2 linked regions of the Sus scrofa genome follow. The protein of the gene in region 1 binds, or shares a complex with, the protein of each later gene. Links are inferred from orthologs where the notes say so. Each region holds a gene or a part of one and is shown in the gene's direction. Other genes may lie near its edges.

What was found. Proteins that work in one complex are often made in the same cells at the same time.
Region 2: SNRPD3 (region 1) and SF3B5 share a complex: the UniProt entries of both Homo sapiens proteins name them as parts of the minor spliceosome. The link is inferred for Sus scrofa from reciprocal best matches to the Homo sapiens genes SNRPD3 and SF3B5.

What each region holds. Positions count from the first base shown.
Region 1 is NC_010456.5:49,584,100-49,588,361, forward strand, and holds the start of SNRPD3 (small nuclear ribonucleoprotein Sm D3), read left to right. Parts: upstream 1-1,387; 5' UTR 1,388-1,785; intron 1,786-1,818; exon of another isoform or gene 1,819-1,947; intron 1,948-2,774; exon of another isoform or gene 2,775-2,829; intron 2,830-3,454; 5' UTR 3,455-3,472; coding exon 3,473-3,598; intron 3,599-4,262. Other genes in the region: protein GUCD1, read right to left, coding at 746-788. UniProt on the Homo sapiens protein: Plays a role in pre-mRNA splicing as a core component of the spliceosomal U1, U2, U4 and U5 small nuclear ribonucleoproteins (snRNPs), the building blocks of the spliceosome.
Region 2 is NC_010443.5:21,229,655-21,232,546, forward strand, and holds SF3B5 (splicing factor 3B subunit 5), read left to right. Parts: upstream 1-1,609; 5' UTR 1,610-1,753; coding exon 1,754-2,014; 3' UTR 2,015-2,034; intron 2,035-2,143; 3' UTR 2,144-2,360; downstream 2,361-2,892. UniProt on the Homo sapiens protein: Component of the 17S U2 SnRNP complex of the spliceosome, a large ribonucleoprotein complex that removes introns from transcribed pre-mRNAs.

The sequences.
Region 1 (4,262 bases):
AGGATTAGGGAGGCCAATCCCCGGGTAACTCCAGACCCTACTCCTTGCTGCAGTCACAGTCAGTATCCTGCTGATTCCTTAGGGTCAGGCTCCCACATGCTCTTGACTTCTCCCAGGAGCTGGGACCTCACTTTAGAGTTTACCAGCACTTCCTTTCTCACCAACCCTGTGCCTTAACCAGAGCAGGAATTACTGCTCTCTCCCTCCCCAATTTAGCAAAGCAAACCGAGGTTCACACACAACCTGAGTTTTGGTTTCTGCCTGCAAGGGAACACAGGCCACCTGGGACATAAGGAACTAGAGTGAAGAACTCTAGCAAGACAAAACACTGAGTCTGGGAGGCCGGGGGGGGGGGCCTCCCCCATTGCTCTATGCTCCCTGCCAGTTCCCTGCCCTTCTAGGCCTCAGTTCCCCGAGGGGACAGGATCTCTCACGGCAGCTTCAGCAGGACTTTTCGCTTCTGGGGAAGCTGCCGCCCCAGCCTCTCAACCAGGACCCTCCCACCAAGACCGCCATCAGAGCTGCCTGGGGTTCCAGCCCTGGGAGTATCAGGAAACCCCAGCAGACCGCGGTTGGCGCTGCGGGAGCCAAGGCGGGGTGTACACCTGGCCAGACTTCACTCAAAGCTCTACAGCCTAGGACATGGCGGCCGTCGGTCCAAGGTCACGCGGCCGGACCCTGACCGCTGCTAGGGTGGGCCCCCCTGTTCCCCTGGATGAGGGCTAAGCCCTCAGGGAGCACTGACCGGGCTCGAGCGGCGGCCCCGATGCCTCCCCCTCCGTCCTCATGACGTGGGCGGCGCGGGGCTCCCATGGCCCCGGCCCGGCGCCGGCTGCAGCTTCGGCCTCGTCTGGGGCGGGAGCGGGGCCGCTAGTCCCCGGGTTCCTGGGCCGCCACCGCCACTGCCAGCACGGTGGGGAGAAGGGGAGGCGGCAGCTGGGCCGCCCCAAGCCCCGCCCCGGCCCTTCCAGGCCTTGGCCCGCCCCGTCCGCCCTGGGCCCCGCCCCGGCCCGCCCCCGCCTCCTCTGGCCCTCAAGCCCTCAGGCTCCCAGGCTCCTGTCTCCGCTGGTCCCGGCCGCTCAAAGTGTCAGCTCCCAGGGTTGCCGCCCCGACCTCCGAGGCCTGGCGCGGACGCGCAGCCCTTCCCGCCCCGCTCCCCGGAAGCCCCGCCCAGGCCCGGGAGTTCCACGAACGCGGGCTCCCCAGAGCCCCCGGCAAGCTCCGCCTCTGCCAGGTCCTACTCCTCCGCCAGCCTCGGGGCCGGGAGACCCAGCCCCACCTCGACTCTCTTTGGAGGGACGGCCGAGGGCCGGCACCCGCTCTGCTCCTGTCTCCCTCTCCGCTCAGGGGTCCCTTTACCTGGCACTGCCGGGTTCCGAAGGTTAAATTGTGAGGGGAGGTCCTGGCCCTCGGCCCCACCGCTGCCTCCCCCGATCCCCGCCTCGCCGTCCAGCCCGTCGCCGGTGTGAGGTGTTTGGAAAAGCGAGTCCCTCTCTGCCCTTGCCGGCCCGAGGGTCGGTGTTTCCGGCGGCACCTGGGTCCAGTCATCAGTCTTCCGGGGCCGGAACTCTTGAACCACAGACCGAGTTTCCCAGCCGGTGGGGTGAGGTGGAAGCGAGGACGAGACCGCGCTCACCACTGGGAAAAGGAAGAGGGCGGGCCCTGCGCGAGGCATTTTGGGAACGCGTGGTATTCTGGGAGCGCGGGACCCGCCATTCGCTTGTCTCACGCTTCGCAGTCGGCAGAGTCGCGGCCGCACCGGGAAGGAGGAGGAGACCTCAGGCGGTGAGGGGAGGCTGGGGGCGGGCGTGGGGAGGCCGAGGCACTCGGAGGAGTAGAGGGTTGGAGAAGGACGCGCTGCCGAGGAGCTCCGCGGGGCTCGCCGAGGGACAGGAGCGGGAAGCCGGGCCACCAGACAGTGTCGCCTCACTAGCGCTTGGAAGTGAGGTCGTTAGCTTTTCCTTCAGTTTCCATACCTCCCCAGGCCAGTGTTTTTCGAAGCATCCAGGCAATGGTCTTGAGGTCGTTTCTGGCTAGTTGCTTCCTTCCCAAGTCCTTTGCTTCCCTGCCTCCATCCGCCCCCTCATGCTTTCTACACCGTTACACAAGCTTCTTTCAAGTTTCCCTGCATCTAAGCTGTGTTCGAACCATTTTGTAAGTGCTGCTGCCTTTCCCAGGGATAATTCCTTCCCTATAGTCCTGCCGTGGTTCTCCCATTGCGTTCAGCATAAAATCTACACTTCTGAGGCTTCTCACGAAGGGCGCCTGTCTCTTTCACTGCTCTTCCTTTTTCTCTTTATGCAGGAGATGTATTCCACCTTTCAGCTGACCATTTTGGAATTTAAAAACCGACAGCTTTCCTCTTTTAAGGTCAAGTCAGGCTTGCCTTGATTCCCTTTTTTCTCCAAGATAAGCATTTCCTGTGTGTAGCACATTATCACTTTGTGAATACTTTGATATTTTCTCTTTAACTTTGATGGTGAAGTAAATGGAGAGTCAAAGAGCACTTACTGGGTTGAATTAAATGCATGGACTCTTCTTGATTTTAATTTTCGTTCTTTTTTTTTTTTTTTTTTTTTTGCCACCCTGAGGTATATGGCGTTCCCTGGCCACGGATCAGATCCAAGCCATGGTTTCCACCTTCCTCGAAGCTGCAGCAACCCACTATGGTGGGCCAAGGATCGAACCAGTGTCCCAGGGCTCCAGAAATGCCTCAGACCACATTGCGCCACAGCTGGAGCTCCTTATTTCATTTTAATTTTATTCAATTTCAGAACTTGCAGTGGTTACTGTTTTGGACAGCTCAGGTCTACGTCCTACGTTCTCAAGGTGATGTTACCCACTGCTTTGGGTTAACAAGTACACCTGCCTTCCAACCCCCTCTGCTGCAACATAGTTATTTGATAAAGATAAAGGGACCTGTGGTAGCAGGGAGATGAGAGGCAGTCTTTTCATTCCTGTTAGCTTTCCCTCTGTCTAGCCCCCCTGTTCCTCCCCACCCAATCTTGCATCTTGTTTGCTAGATATGTTCTTCAAGCTGGGGTTAAGCTACTTTTTCAAGTTCCTTTGGGAGTTCCCTTCCTGGCTCAGTGGTTAACGAACTTGACTAGGATCCATGAGAATGTGGGTTTGCCCCCTGGCCTTGCTCAGTGGGTTAAGGGTCTGGCATTGCTGTGAGCTGTGTAATCGCAGATGTGCCTCAGATCCTGTGTTGCTGTGGCTGTGGCATAACCCAGCAGCTGTAGCCTCTATTCAACCCCTAGCCTGGGAACTTCCATATGCTGGGGGCGCAGCCCTAAAAAGCAAAAAAAATAAAGTTAAAAAAAAAAACACGCCTTTGGCATTTTTGCTGAGTGTTACAGAGTGTCCAGCCTTGAGTGAGGCTTGTGCCACATGCCTCTCAGGCCCTGAACCATGAACTCTTATCTCTCTCTCTCTCTCTCTCTCTCTGTAGAATTCTCTTCCTGCCGAGATGTCTATTGGTGTGCCGATTAAAGTCCTACATGAGGCTGAGGGGCACATTGTGACCTGTGAGACGAACACGGGAGAGGTGTACCGAGGGAAGCTCATTGAAGCCGAGGACAACATGAACTGCCAGGTATCCTGCTTTGCACATGAGCCTATTGGGGGGAGCTTGAGCCTGTGTCTTGGAGGACAGAAAGCTGGTGATTGAGGGTCTTTTTGAAGTTCTCATTCAGCAGTTACTGAGAGCTTAGTGAATGCCAGGCACTGTTCCAGATACCAGGGATGTGGGCATAGGTAAGAGCCATTTGGAATATTTAATTTTGTCCTTTGTTTCCCAACCCCATAAACCGTTTTCTCCCATATCTCGGGGCCTGTTTAAGAGAAGTAGCACAATGTTCAGTAGAACCATTAGGTTCAGGGTCGCTAGTAACTCATCCCTACTTGTTTGCCCATTGCTTTGCAGTTTGCATACCATGTGGTTTGGATACCATATGTAAATCTTCCACTTATATATGGTAGTTATTTGCCATTCTTCTTGGGGGAGGTATCTTCTTTGATTGCATTTATAGCAGCTACCCTGTGAGGTAAGAAGGTTTTGATGATAGCTTTGTCATCCATAAAATGGGAAAGATAAGATTAAAGGACTTAATTACTGTACTTACTTGCTAATAAATATTGAAGCCATTTCTTGACGTGGTGCCCTTCTGATGGCAGTACTTTGATTTTGCTAATAATTATGTGAATTTGTATAGCATCACTTTACAAAGTGTGTGACACTTTCTTAAGAGCTTGGGCTT
Region 2 (2,892 bases), on another chromosome or scaffold:
AAAACCAAAATAAAATAACAAACTTGGAAATGAAAATGGCAAAATGGCAAGGTATGATATATCTGGATGGTAAATCCACAGGTATGCCTTATAATAACCTCTATGTTTCAGAAATGAAATATTTGTTATAACCAAGTTCACACTTAAGGGGGAAGTTTTTTTTTTTTTTTCCAATTTTTGGTACAGGCATTTGATCCCAGAGGGAACTGTTTTACCACTAAAATTTTTTAATAAAAATTATATATATTTAAGAGGTGCAACATGATTTGATATACATATACACAATAAAATGGTACCACAAACTAATTAACATATTCACCTCCTCACAATTTTTAGTATTGATACAGTATTAACTATAGTTAACTATAGAGCTCTAAACTTACTAGTCCTATCTAACCGTAACTTTATACCAGAATAAAGATACTTTAAAGTTATCTTTCTCCCAGTAAAGAATTTATTTGGCCGTCATACAGGTTTTTTTAATCCATTCATCAGATGTTTTTTGAGAAACAATCTCTGCGAGGCTCTGTGGCTAGCATAACAGAAGCATATGATACAAGACATCATCTCTTTTTCATTAATATTTTTAAAAATATTACTATTTGAATTTATTGAACTTCGCATTTTGGGGTTTTCTTTGTGGATTTCATGCTACAAATAGATCAAGTAGATAGATGTCTCACCCTCAAAAAAAAAAAAAGACATCATCAAAAAAGTAGTTTTTCTCAAGTAGTTTGTATTCGTGTGGGGAAGTTCTTAAACCAAAAACTGGATATAAAGTGATAATAACAAAGAGATGTACAGGATGAAAAGAATTTACATCTGTCTGGAGTAGCCAAAGTCAATTTCAGGGAGATACTTTCGAGCTGACTTAAAAGGGAGAAGTGTTTGCCAGGGGAACAAAAGCATTCCACGCAGATGGAACAGCTCGTACAGAGAACTGGAGAGAGCAGCACGGGAACGTTTGAGAAGTAGAGGCTGAGGGCCTGTAGGTGGGGTGAAACTTGTTGGGAGGATGTCAAAATTAGAAGCTCAAAAGGAGGAGCCTGTTGTGGGGGCCTGAATGTGTCGGAACTGGTGCTGTACTTAGGTCACTAGGCGGGAAACGGCGGCCCCGCAAGCGATGAAAGAAGTTTCCACACAACTTGTAAGAGACATGGCTGGGGTCAGACCTTGAGTTTCCTGACTTCAGGGTGATCCACCCCTGGTTGTGAAACGGCTACTGTACCCTCTGTAGCTCCGAAAGCGGAATTGCACAAAGAGCTCCTTTCCCCAGTTGCTTACAGCCTTGTACTACTTGTTTCCCACTTCCTCTCGGCCCCCCATCCGCCCGAGGATGCTTCCTGCCTCCCAAACACCGCAGTCCATTCAGTCTCTCAAACCCACACACAGAGGTCCCAAGAAGTCTCTGCGAACCAACCCTCGGAAACCACAAGTCCCAGCATGCAAAGCTCCTGTTAGAAAAGGGCCGCTAGATGGACCAGCATGCAACGCTCTGCGAAGGAGGCGGGGCTCTCTATAGGGAAGGCCCACTGGTAGCGTTGCCGAGGCAACTCCAATTCCGTGACAGAATACACTTCCGCCTGGGAGGCCGGGGACCGCGAGTCGCGCTGCTTTGTCGCTGTGACGCCATCCACCTGCGGCCGCGCGTGTACAGAGGTTCCGGCGGGTGGCTCCTCTCCGGCTTGAAACCTTAGAGCGGCTTCTTCTCGTCTGCGGCTTCTGACCTGCGAGCAAAGGAAAAAGCAACGAGATGACAGACCGCTACACCATCCACAGCCAGTTAGAGCATCTGCAGTCCAAATACATCGGCACCGGCCACGCCGACACCACCAAATGGGAGTGGCTGGTGAACCAGCACCGCGACTCCTATTGCTCCTACATGGGCCACTTCGACCTTCTCAACTACTTCGCCATTGCCGAGAATGAGAGCAAAGCGCGAGTCCGCTTCAACTTGATGGAGAAGATGCTGCAGCCTTGCGGCCCGCCCGCCGACAAACCGGAGGAGAACTGAGACCTCACCGTCTCACCGCTGTACGTGAGCACCTCTCTGCGTTCCTCCGGTTTGTCGTCATTCCCGCGGGTTCCTCTCCCAAGTGGACGGATTCTTCATAGCTCTGCTTTTCGTGCTTTCTTTGTACAGAGGTCCTTACCCGGGGCGTTCCGTCCGACCTGCCTTCCTGTGGAACAAAGTGTTGGGAGACCCGTCATAACCCCTGAGAAACTGAACAGTGGAGAGATCCTAAAGTCTGCAGACGTTAGAGGAGATATGGCTGGAGTGAGATGGGATTAAGAGGCTCGTTTTTGGCTAGTTGACTGTCTTCGTTGCTTTTTCTATAAAGTTTAGAAATGTTTCGGTCTCTTGGTGTGGACTACTTGTGTTCTGGTGGAGGGGCCAAGGAGGGCTCTGGGACTGTGGTTTGCCGGGTGGCGGGGGGTATAAAGAAGGGAAGGGTTGGGGAGGGGTTCAACAGTAGCACAGGGCCAAAGTTCGTTGCCAGACACTTAAATACGCTCTTTATAATATTCTCCAACCCTGACTTCTCCCAGGAACTTTTCTCAGGCCCTTAACACATTCACTATTGAGGTTTGTGATCACTGTGTCCTTTTTCTTTCATACAAAAAAAAAAAATCTTGACTCGCTTTGCCTTCTCTCTGTAGATTACACCTCTTTCTTTTGGAAATACGTGGACATATCTTGAGTATTGACAAACTGTCAAATTAGTTCTTAAATTCATTCAGCAAATACGTGTTGAATTTTATGTGGCAGGCTTTAAGGACCTATATTACACTGGTTGGGGGAGCAGAAGACCACAAAATTTGCAGACATAAGCAAGCACATGTTGGAGGGTGCTGTGGAGAATGAGAGTAGCAGTAGGGTTGCAGTTTTAA